2 linked regions of the Saccharomyces cerevisiae S288C genome follow. The gene in region 2 interacts genetically with the main gene of each other region. Each region holds a gene or a part of one and is shown on either strand. Other genes may lie near its edges.

The links. A genetic interaction does not mean that the proteins touch.
Region 1: mutations in SEC9 (region 2) and MNN2 together harm fitness more than expected from each alone (negative genetic interaction), as found in Saccharomyces cerevisiae (3 studies listed by BioGRID).

Annotation. Positions count from the first base shown.
Region 1 is NC_001134.8:267,210-271,648, forward strand, and holds MNN2 (alpha-1,2-mannosyltransferase MNN2), read right to left. Parts: upstream 2,295-4,439; coding exon 501-2,294; downstream 1-500. Other genes in the region: glutathione-disulfide reductase GRX7, read right to left, coding at 1-127; cysteine-rich palmitoylated domain-containing protein CPP1, read left to right, coding at 3,038-3,424; KAP104 (Kap104p), read right to left, coding at 3,738-4,439. UniProt on the Saccharomyces cerevisiae protein: Alpha-1,2-mannosyltransferase, responsible for addition of the first alpha-1,2-linked mannose to form the branches on the mannan backbone of oligosaccharides.
Region 2 is NC_001139.9:504,231-512,581, forward strand, and holds SEC9 (Sec9p), read right to left. Parts: upstream 6,773-8,351; coding exon 4,817-6,772; downstream 1-4,816. Other genes in the region: PEX31 (peroxisome biogenesis protein), read left to right, coding at 1-96; transcription factor IIF subunit TFG2, read right to left, coding at 427-1,629; mRNA splicing protein PRP18, read left to right, coding at 1,840-2,595; ECT1 (ethanolamine-phosphate cytidylyltransferase), read left to right, coding at 2,739-3,710; STF2 (ATPase-stabilizing factor family protein), read right to left, coding at 3,880-4,134; nicotinamide-nucleotide adenylyltransferase NMA2, read left to right, coding at 7,315-8,351. UniProt on the Saccharomyces cerevisiae protein: Component of a SNARE complex that may be the effector of SEC4 function in exocytosis.

The sequences.
Region 1 (4,439 bases), on a different chromosome or scaffold from region 2:
GATGGTGAGTAGTAATACTTTCGTTGACGCTAGCATTCGAATTCCTTAACACAAAAAACACAACAATGAGCAGTAAATTAGTTATTACCAAGACTCTCACGTTTCTTTTGTTTATAACAATAGCCATCTCTAATTTTCTTCAGTTGTTTTGCGTTTAATTTGAAAATTTTGCTTCTTTCCAATATATAGGTTTTTTCTTTTATTTGATTCGAGCTTTTTCACTGAGGGGATATGTACACATTGGCAAATATCCTGCCGAAAGTACTTCTTTATTTTTTTTCAAAACGCAGTCCCACTTACCGGTATGACGTAGTCTCGATTCTCAAATACACCCGGGACTGCATATTTATACATCTGTAGTAAAGTCATTTTATATGGATTGTGAAGGAAAAAATTTACATAACTGGAAGATAAATAAACATAACTATGTAAGGAATAGTAATAAGAATGTAGAAAACGCCAATGGAAGTTGTCCAAACTATAGTCCGACCCGTTGCATATTATTTACCGGCAATCGCCTTATCATGAGTAGATTCTAAAAATGCTAATCTATCGGTGATGTAACCACACACTCTTTTCCATTCCGTTTTATCCTGCCCTAAAAGGTCATCGAGATATTTGAAAGGATTCTTATTAACACAAACATATTCGTTTAAAACCTTGAAATTCTCTAGTTCAATATCGTAATTTTTTACCTTTTTTAAGGCCGTATATGAACGAGCAGGTTTACCATTCGTAGTCAAAAAATTGCTTTTAGATAAATCGTATGGGTCAAACTTTGGGAAGTTTGAATGGATGAACATAACATCTACATGATTCTTGGCATTTAAGTCCTCGTTGTCGAAAAATTCTTCGGTGTATTTTTCGAGGGAATAGTTTTTGTCAAACTTGATTGCATCAGCTGATTTAGTGCCACCGTATTTGTTGCCAATGCTCTCCATAGCATTTAAGTAACGGCCATAATCCTGCACAAAGTCGTGTTGTAACATTGCTACACCATGAAACCCGTCTTCATCATGGTAGCCTTCAACGCCTGTCCTTGTTCTAACTTGGTAAAATGATAGACCATAAAAGTTTGCAGCGGCAATGAAAGTTTCCTTATCACCTTCACCAGCAGCTTTTTGAGAAAATATTGGGTAGTACCACGTTGGTCCATTGACGTTGTAGAATAAAGATAGAAGAGCCGTAGCCAAATGCTTCGTTTTGTTTATCATCAGTTGGCCGGATTCCGTAGACACGTCGGGTATTGTTCCGTCTAGGTCACTTAGCGGGACGTCACTCAAATCCTTCAAATCCTTTGTGTAAACAGCAGGTGGGGTGATATCGTCTCGAGAATTGCGAACTCTCTTTTTCTTGTCCACAGCAATACCTGCAATGTCGTAATACAATGGGTGAGTTGTACGCCTCCAGAAATCGGGCCACATGACCAAGCCCGTAGACACATATGGTTCTTCATTGAATATGTTGTCTAGGGGTTTGATGGGGAAGTTGTCAGCATCCAGTAAGAGCAGGTTTTCAAAACTAGAAGCGATAAGGGCCAATGATTTAAACTGGTATCCTTTGAAAACAAATTTTTCAATCGTCTCTCGTGGTAGAATATCTGAAACGTAAATACACTTGGAGTTATACTTAGGCAGAATCTTGTTACAAAACTCAGTTTCACCTTCATCACCAGGAGGGATCAGGACTTCCACAGGTAACGTGGTCCCCATATTCCTTAAAGTCTTAATGATCAAAAATGCCATAAGGGAGAACTTCCCGCCACCCACTGTGGCTATACCGGACCCTTTGTACGTACCCTTTGGCGAGACGAGAGTCGCTATATGCTCTACGTAGTCCTTATGGCTTTTGGTCAGACTTGCTACTTCATCCGGAGATAGTTCCAAACACTTGGACAGCTCCTTAGCAGACAACTTGTAAAGATCTTTGTAGTGGTCGGGACGGTCTCCAATGTCACCCTTTAATAAGCATGCCTCGTTATACTGCTTTGCAGTACTCCCCTTGGGCGAATCAACCATTAGAAAGTTGAAAACGTTGTTGTAGAAGCTTTTCAACTTTTCATTGCCTGCCTCATCATTGTCCCTCAATGGGGTTGAATCGTCAGCGCTGGCGGCGTCTGAGGAAGATGAATACTTATTGGAGTAACTCTGGACATATCTGTCTAAGTACTCCTTGTACTCCTTGACCGACGTGTTCTCATCCATGTATTTGTTTGTAATGACGAACAGCCCGCACAATATCAAAACTATGAACGTCAGCTTGAACAGCTTTGAAAACCTTTTGGTAAGCAGCATACTGAAAATATAATTTTACTGACCTACCTACACTGATTTGTCTCGAAGTAGATATGATACCTTGAGCAGCACGAGGATATTAAAAAGTAGGGCAATTCTGCTTTTAACGTATAAGCAACACCAAGTACACGTAATTTATTTTGATGATTCTTCTATATTTTTTTTTTCTTCATTGTTATTTTTTCACTATCTTTTTCATCCCTCCGCAAAAGGACGCGATCCTTTTTTAGCACGTGAACGGTAATAACGGGTCCTGGACGATGTATTAGAGTCACCTAATCACCAAGCGAGCCAATGGCGACTCACTTGACTTGCATGTTTGCATAACCTATTTAGCGAACCCTCCAACTTCTGAGCGCACCAGCTTAACTTGTGCGCTAAGCTGCCTTGCCCGACATAGTGCCATCGCTCATTCCACCTCACACCTGATTAACTAAAAGTTTTAAAACTACGGGACTGCGAAAAAGTAGAGCTACGTTACTGCAGACCTACAATAATTGCACACATCGGCCTGATAACGAATGCTTCTAAAATTCTACTGTGCTACTATCGGCTGGTCGCGCCCGACGGGTTCGCTCAGCCGCTCTGCGCCCTCTTACTCTTCAGCCATTCTGCTGCGGCCGAAGCTATAAAAGTATGTCAATTTGGCTTTTTCCAAAATCCCCCTCTGGCTCTTTCTCTTCTCAAGACAAGCATTGAAGAGACTCACTAGTAAGCTTAAGATAGTCCTACACACAACCACCATGTCTGCTAACGATTACTACGGCGGAACCGCCGGCGAGAAGAGCCAATATTCCCGTCCCTCCAACCCGCCACCTTCATCCGCTCATCAGAACAAAACTCAGGAGCGTGGATACCCACCCCAACAACAGCAGCAGTACTACCAGCAGCAGCAGCAGCATCCCGGATACTATAACCAACAAGGATACAATCAGCAAGGGTACAATCAGCAAGGGTACAATCAGCAGGGCTACAATCAGCAGGGATATAACCAGCAGGGATATAACCAACAAGGCCATCAACAACCAGTCTACGTCCAACAACAACCACCCCAGAGGGGTAACGAAGGTTGTCTGGCTGCATGTCTGGCTGCATTATGTATATGCTGCACCATGGATATGCTATTCTAAGAGAACCCGCAAAAGTATTCAAGAATGAAAAAAAAAAAAAGAATAATCTCCCCTTCTGTTCTTTGCAGTTGCCTTTCTTCCCCTCAGTGTTATTTTTTTTCACAAGGAGATAAAAAAAAAAACTTTAACATGTCACTTTAAGCATGTATGTAATACGTCTATTAATTATATGTAACTTTTATAACTATTTTCATTTCTATGTGATCCATTTGCAGTTATGCACCTTTTTTTTTTTTCCGAATTGTGCTATGTATATATCACTAGTAATAATGTACCAAACTATACAAACACGTAGGATACAGTAAAAAAAATTTTAGCTGGTGAACTGTTGTAAGAAGGAGATTTCATCGGGCGTGAAATTTATTGCAGAAATTTGGGCAGAATGGTTCATCAAAAAGGTGTAGATCTCTTGCGCAAAAACATTCGCCTCTACATTGCTTGAAAGGCCCGTAACAATTTTATGAATGGTATCATTACTCATTGTGACCTCCGTGCTGGTCAAATTGATAATTTTCAGGAAACCCATGTACGCGCTACTCTTTTCCTCTACATCGTCCAATGCGTTAACGGACAAACACCATTTATTCCAGTTGGAATCATTGGCAAATGCGCCAGAACTGAAAACTTCAGGGTGTGTTAGCCCCATTTTTCCGATGGTCACAGACAAGTTCTCCATCACAGAGCTGTCTACGATTTGTGTGTTGGTGGTAAATAAATCTAGAATGATTCTAGACATATCAATGATATAAGTATTCAAATCGATACGTTCGCTTATCAAACCAAGCGCCCATATCGCATTTATCACAGCAGGAGTACCATCACTATCGTCGTTATGCATTATTTCCGTACCAATCAACTTCAAGAAATCCTCCAAATTACCAATTACCAGTTCCGAATTGAAAAAATATACAATATCTCCCAACAGGGCAAAGCAGCTTTGTCTTACTTCATGGACAGGGTCCTGCAAACATTCTAGCATGATTTTCAATATCGTTAAATCCTTCGTCCCTTGAGG
Region 2 (8,351 bases):
TCATTTAGTACAGCAAATGAAGTGCATATCATACCTTCCTCGGACAGTAGCAAATTAATACAAATATCTGATGTTTCAATGTCTCCTTCTCTATAATGAGTGCATGCCCCATATGGACAACAACGTTCACACTGGTCGGTGCAAGGGCACACAGCAATCTCAGAGTTTCTTTCATTGGCTGCATGGAGCACAAATTCAATCTTGTGCTTTAAAGTATCTGCGCGGTTATGGCAAGTTCTCCATCAGTCTCTTATTCCAGCAAGCATTCTTTTACGGAACTTCAATGCATCTAAATACATATGTACAGATAGCCAAAACTAATAGAGACATAATAAATTAAACAAAACTGTAAATTTTAAAAAGAGTATATATAGGGCTCAAGAAACTGCGTAAATATAAAATTAATGAAGAAAATCTGATTGTCAACTAAACGACATCTTCCATTTCTATTTCATCTTCCAAGTCAGCCTCCGCGTCTCCTTGCGCATTGTCTCCAGCGGAACCTGTTTGCTCATCAGCTAGTTCACCTAAGGTTGCCTTTCTCTCCTCCTCTTTCAACTTTTTATACTCTGGCCTTAAAGTGTATTTGAATGCATATGGGCCCTTCTTCACTAGAGTGGCAACTTTATCCAAACACTCCTTTAAATGTGCTTCAGGTTGCCTAGTACGTTCCTTCAACCCCTTCAAGGACCAGTAGTCATACTCATCAAATAACTTGAACAAGTAATCCAAGATTTCCTTCTTTGGCATACGAATAGATTTAATATTGCTCTTGGCCTTCTCACGCCCCACTTTCAAGAAATTCGAGTTGTCTGACCTCATGGACATACCTGTGTGGCTCATCGTAACACCAACGGTTTCATCCAAAGTTGTGATCCTTTCCTTATTATTAAGCTTGACAATATTTCTTCTCTGTTCAACAATCTTGTGATAATTAGGATCATTCATTGATGGCATAACCTGACATTCGTGGCAAACTGTACCCACAATGGCGGTTTTTTTGGGAATCGTCTTCACATATGGTATATATCTATCTCTACCATCCCTATCTGTCATAACTCTGTGATTAAACTTTTTTCTATTATTTCTACGTTTTTGCTGCTGCTGCTTCTTCTTAAGTTCCTCTTCACGTTCTTGCTTCTTCAGGTAAGCTTGCCTTTGCTTTTCAGGATCTGCTTCCAACTCCTTTTTACGTTGTTGATATTTCTTTAAATTTTGTTCTGTGAAAACATATTCATTTTCTACTACTTTCTTTGTAAGTTCTAAATCATATTCGTGCGGTATAGAATCGTTATCATTTTCATTCAATAGAAGTGTGATTTTACTCCCATCCTTGTTTATCCTAATTTTACCCAGTTCTTGGCCATGCAAGTTGTTTCTGTCCCTCCATTTCTCTGCTAGAAACATGGGCAATCTAACTAACCAGACTTGTCTATTACTACGTTCCAAGTCCAAATCTAAGGATTCTTCATAAACTTTGGTTTCATTATTCTCAATATCATTACCGTCAAAAACTTCCTCCTCTTGCGAAAGATACTCATCACCGGAAATGTTACCTGATTTCTCCTTCGCGACAGAGTTCGTGGAATTATTAGAAAGTGCTGGTGCCCCTGCTGAACCACTGCTCATGGTGTTAAGTTGGTCTTCTATTTTACTCTTAATATTGCGTTATGCGTTGAAGCCAACAGCATATGTCTTATTCTTCTAATTTCAAGCCTGATAATTTATTCATTTCGCGCAAGGGAAGATGAAAAAGTTAAGAAGAGAATCGACCTTTGGAAAGGGCCCCAATGGAAAGAACTTCAATGTTTTTTCCTCTACAAGTAATAAGAGCATAAAATGGACCTAGATCTAGCCAGTATCTTAAAAGGTGAAATTTCTAAGAAGAAGAAAGAGCTGGCCAACTCTAAAGGTGTTCAGCCACCATGCACTGAGAAATTCCAGCCACATGAATCCGCAAACATAGACGAAACACCGCGACAGGTAGAACAAGAAAGTACAGATGAAGAAAACCTGTCAGACAATCAGAGTGACGATATTAGGACCACCATTAGCAAATTAGAAAATCGGCCAGAAAGGATACAAGAAGCGATAGCTCAAGACAAAACCATCTCTGTAATCATTGATCCATCACAAATTGGTTCTACTGAAGGAAAACCTCTTTTGTCAATGAAATGTAATTTATATATTCACGAAATATTATCTCGTTGGAAGGCGTCTTTGGAAGCTTATCATCCGGAGCTGTTCTTAGACACTAAAAAAGCACTCTTTCCACTCCTACTGCAACTACGAAGGAACCAGCTTGCCCCGGATTTACTTATTTCCCTTGCGACCGTTCTCTATCATTTACAACAACCTAAAGAAATAAATTTAGCCGTTCAGTCCTATATGAAACTCAGTATCGGCAATGTGGCCTGGCCTATTGGTGTTACTAGCGTAGGCATTCATGCTCGTAGTGCACATTCGAAAATTCAAGGAGGCCGGAATGCTGCTAACATAATGATTGATGAAAGAACGCGATTATGGATTACCAGTATTAAAAGATTAATAACTTTTGAAGAATGGTATACCAGCAACCACGATAGCTTAGCCTAATTGTTGAACTATTGTTTTCGTTATCGCGTGGCACGATATCATGCGGCCAAAATAAGAAGCAAGAATGCAGATGTTGATAGCCTTTGTTCAATTTTCCAGAGACAAATGCTTTACAGGATCGGGACTTGAAATATACTGACTGGATGACGGTAAACTTAGATCCGGATAAAGTTTGGATAGACGGCTGCTTTGATTTCACACATCATGGGCATGCGGGAGCCATTTTGCAGGCTCGTCGAACAGTTTCAAAAGAAAATGGTAAACTATTCTGTGGTGTGCATACCGATGAAGATATTCAGCATAACAAAGGAACACCAGTAATGAACTCTTCAGAAAGATATGAGCATACTAGATCAAATAGGTGGTGTTCGGAAGTGGTTGAAGCGGCGCCATATGTTACAGATCCCAATTGGATGGATAAATATCAGTGCCAATATGTTGTTCATGGTGATGATATCACCATAGATGCTAATGGAGAAGACTGCTATAAGTTGGTGAAAGAGATGGGGCGCTTCAAGGTAGTTAAAAGAACATATGGCGTAAGTACTACCGAGATTATACATAGAATATTGACGAAAAAATCTTTGCCACCGACTCATCCTGATTATTATCCCACCACCCAGGAATTGAGTTTCTATTCTGTCGCCCAAGATGCCGTTTCAAAACATTGTTATGTCTTTCAGAGGGATTTGGACAATGTCTTGGTCAATGGTGGATACAAATTCGATGCAGAAGATTGTGTTTATGTTGACGGGGATTTTGACTTATTCCATATGGGGGATATTGATCAGTTAAGAAAGCTGAAAATGGATCTTCACCCCGATAAGAAATTGATTGTTGGTATTACCACAAGCGATTACTCGAGTACCATTATGACGATGAAGGAACGCGTCTTGAGCGTTTTAAGTTGTAAATATGTTGATGCCGTTATTATCGATGCTGACGCCACCTCAATGTCTCAGTATAACTGCGAGAAGTATCATATTGGCACGGCTGTCCTCACTGCTGCCGGAAAATTCAGTGAATACTTGACTAAAGAGCTTATTGTGAAGAGGGTGGAATCGCAAAGGGAGGTTTACATTGCGAGGAACCAAAAAAAGGGAATGTCCATATAAACAAATGTTGAAAACTTCTTCGAACGTAAATTAAATGGATGTAAGAAAACTGTATTACATAAGTCATGAAGTAGGCATGCAAGTATATACCTATAGATGCATATAAATCAGTGGAGAAGGCCACTATCCTTCAGAGATCAAAAAACCTTTTTTTATCTTGAAAACGCCCTCATTCCTTTTGGACGTTTTCAAACTTTTGTTCATGCGATTGCAAATTTGAGCCTCTTCTATCTTTCTTGAACACTGGGGGTATTTCACCATTATCAATTAAGTCATCAATCTCATCGCCTGGCTTACCCCAATTACCCTTGCCGGAACCTTGCTTCTTGATGTGATTTGGAGATTCACCGTAGTTACCAGTGTGCGAAAAGTACTTTGGATCAGCCTTTCCTTCACGTTCGGTCCACTTGTTTGTTCTCGTCATTTTTTCTGATTGGTTGTACACTTGAGCGGTTTGTTACTGTTGATTGTTCGTTTATTTGTATAATTGAGTTTACACAACAATTGTTACAATAGTATGGGTAATTAGGGCCAAGAGAGTGACAAAAAGCAAACTTATAAATAGTCCTTTTATACAAATGACAAGTGTTCGCTTCTGCGCTCGCAGCCCCCTGTTTTCGAAGGAGTTTCTTAGCCTAAGCTAGGCAGGCGCGCCCCCATTATCTATCCCTTCATTGCTTACTGAGAGGTTTTCCTCCCCCCCTCCGCGTATATTTCCTCCGCTGGAGAAAATTAGTTGTGGGACGGATAGCATCACTTAATTCTGTACCTTTTTGAAACTGGCTTGGTACTTTCTGTTGGATAGCAACATTTCCCGCTGGGATACTTCAACATGGGCTATGAATTTTCTTTTGTCTTTTATCTTTTATCTTTTATCTTTTATCTTTAAATTATTTGAGCTCGGTTAAGTTCATAACTATTGCGTGCCCGAATGGTATTCTTTCAATTCACAACCAAACATTAAAATGAAGAAAGCATACTCTTATATTATATCAATGTCTTTTTCTTTACTTATTTGTCTTTGCTCATAAATTTCTACATAATGGTAGTAATGGTGATGAAATGTTGTTACTTGTGATATATTACATAGTTTTTACAGGCATATTCTATCTGATACCTGCCAACCTGTTGGTATTCATATGGAGATTGATATCTAGATCATCAGTGCTTTCCTCAATGTTGTTGAGACGTTTTTGCTGAGAGTCTAATTCTTTACCAGTGGTCAAGGCCATTTTCTTCAATCTGTTGCTAACCTGCTGAATCTGGTCCAAATTCCTATCAATTTCCAATTCCATTTCGTCATCTTCTTCATCATTCTCAAACTGATATCTCTTTGCCTTTTCTAGAACATTCTTCCTCTGATATCTTTCCCGCACCTCACTTATGTTATTATTTGCGTTCATAGCACCCTCTATTCTTTGAGTGGACTGAGACAATTGTTGACTTGTTTGCTCTCTCATTAATTTTTCTTCAATTTTCCTATTCTTCAGCTGCTCTTCCCTCTCCCTTCTCCTTCTCTTGGAATTAAACGGATTAGAAACATGGACAGCCAATATACTACGGTTCAATTTTTTTAGTTCTGCAACTTTTTCATCTGCAACTTTATTTTGCACCTTCATTAAATCTAAGTTTCCTTCTACGTTATTCAATTGTTCACTTTGATGACCCAGCATACCCAATGTGTTCATACCTGCTCTTTCGGCGTCTTGAGCCATTTTTAGTGTATTTCTAGTAGAGGCTACGGAACTCTGTTTCGTAAATTTGATCTCCTGCTTGATTTCATCTACTGCTTCATCTTCTTCCTGCTGCTGGCGAGCCTCCTCTTCTTTTTGTATTTCTTCAAATGTTTTGTAACCCCTTTGATCTCCATATTGGTTATTTGTTGCGTTAAAGTGTTGCTGTTGCTGTTGCTGCTCATCCATGAACCACTGTTGCTGCTGCTGCTGTCTTGAACTATGATCAACTTCGGACGCATTTAAATCTATTGAATCTTCATTCGTCATTACTGCATTCAAATCAGGCTCATCTAATGCCGCTCTATTTTCTGCAGACTTGTCAGCATAAACTTCTTCAAAATCAAATTCACCTGTTCTAGGTTCTTCATTTAAATCAACTTCACTATTGCGTGCTGCTTCATCAGAAGCAATAAAAGAGGGCGTATAAGTCATTGGAGCTTGTTGCGATTGCGGTTGACGCACACTTCTACTAGAATATGGATTTGCAGACCTGTTCAAATTTCCATTACTATATGAGTCGTTCGCCATAGAGGCGTATGGATTTGCATTCTTGGAGCTTCCTTGTCGAGTACCGCTAGATCTATTAGTATTGGAGTCATACGCCCCGCCATAACTATTCATATCAGCGTAAGGATTTCTCTTTTCTTGCATCGGGTTTGCTAAGGGACTTCTTTGGTCAAGCGATAAGCTGTTGGTCGACGTTGAAACCGGCGGTTGCCTTGTTTGCCTCGAAGGCCCTACGTTTAAAGTGCTGTTTGAATGATTTAAACTATTACGGCCATTCGCATTCACCCAGCTGTTTGAAGTATTTTGGTTACTATACGGGCCATCGTTATTATATGAATTCAGAGATGTGCCATTGTACCCCCCTCCATAATCACCATAAGGCGCAGCATTGACGCTACCTCTCCCATTACTTTTATTAGCTTGAAACCTTGCATAAGGATCGTCATCATATCGGTAATCATCATTTTCGATAGCGTACGGATCTTGCATAGAATTGGATTCTGCTCCATTTCCGAGATCTTGCGTGCCACTTGAACCTCTATTAGAACCAGCAGTTGCCTCGTTAGCATTGGCATCTAAGGGAGAAGCATTCAAATCCTCAAGTTCATCCTGTGGCCTAGCATACTGCTCATAACCTGGTGGCGCGTATACCTTATCTTCAGCTTTATCATTTGCAAATTTACCGTAGGCGGCAAATTTCTCTTTTCTTTTCTTGCTAGGGTTTTTGACACTAATACCCAGTTCCATCAAAGTATCCTTGTTCTGTTCTGGTGTCGCTTCCTCTGGAGGCTTAATCTTAAAAAATTTCTTTAATCCCATTCTTTTGGTGTCAATGGTGTATTATTCCGAGTTACTCCAGGCTAGGTTCAGGAGTACCAAGAATGTACTTTATTTATTTATACACCGGAGCAAGTCATATAATTACGCAAACGATTCGAAATTGTTAAAAGCAGGATCAACGTATCTCATTTCTTTTTGAAAGACGGGTAATAGAAAGTCTCTGAGTCGCACCCCACATGGATATCGTACTATTCGTATATGGAATGTAAAATACTCGCAATACGATTTTATTTAGCTTCACAATCTCTCAAACTTATCGTCTTGATCAATCTTTACGTTTTACCAAATAATCGCCTGTTTCTGGCCATTTTTTGCTTATACCATCTACCATACTCGCTGTCCATATGTGACGGTGTCGTCTCCAAGAAAAATAACAATGTAAATTGACCCAGCGTGACGACAGTAGACTGTAAGTTATAGTACAATCATACTCTACCTTAGTCACTGTTCCTCCACTGTTAAGTAGAGAGAGAGAGAGAGTTTAAAGTGGAGAAGGCAAGAAAAAGTGCACTTATTACGTAATGGATCCCACCAAAGCACCCGATTTTAAACCGCCACAGCCAAATGAAGAACTACAACCACCGCCAGATCCAACACATACGATACCAAAATCTGGACCCATAGTTCCATATGTTTTAGCTGATTATAATTCTTCGATCGATGCTCCTTTCAATCTCGACATTTACAAAACCCTGTCGTCAAGGAAAAAAAACGCCAACTCAAGCAACCGAATGGACCATATTCCATTAAATACTAGTGACTTCCAGCCACTATCTCGGGATGTATCATCGGAGGAGGAAAGTGAAGGGCAATCGAATGGAATTGACGCTACTCTACAGGATGTTACGATGACTGGGAATTTGGGGGTACTGAAGAGCCAAATTGCTGATTTGGAAGAAGTTCCTCACACAATTGTAAGACAAGCCAGAACTATTGAAGATTACGAATTTCCTGTACACAGATTGACGAAAAAGTTACAAGATCCTGAAAAACTGCCTCTGATCATCGTTGCTTGTGGATCATTTTCTCCCATAACATACCTACATTTGAGAATGTTTGAAATGGCTTTAGATGATATCAATGAGCAAACGCGTTTTGAAGTGGTTGGTGGTTATTTTTCTCCAGTAAGTGATAACTATCAAAAGCGAGGGTTAGCCCCAGCTTATCATCGTGTCCGCATGTGCGAATTAGCATGCGAGCGGACATCATCTTGGTTAATGGTTGATGCCTGGGAATCTTTACAATCAAGTTATACAAGGACAGCAAAAGTCTTGGACCATTTCAATCATGAAATAAATATCAAGAGAGGTGGAATCATGACTGTAGATGGTGAAAAAATGGGCGTAAAAATCATGTTATTGGCAGGCGGTGATCTTATCGAATCCATGGGCGAGCCTCATGTGTGGGCTGATTCAGACCTGCACCATATTTTGGGTAATTATGGATGTTTGATCGTGGAAAGGACTGGTTCTGATGTTAGGTCCTTCTTGCTTTCCCATGATATCATGTATGAACACAGAAGAAATATCCTTATTATCAAACAACTTATTTACAATGA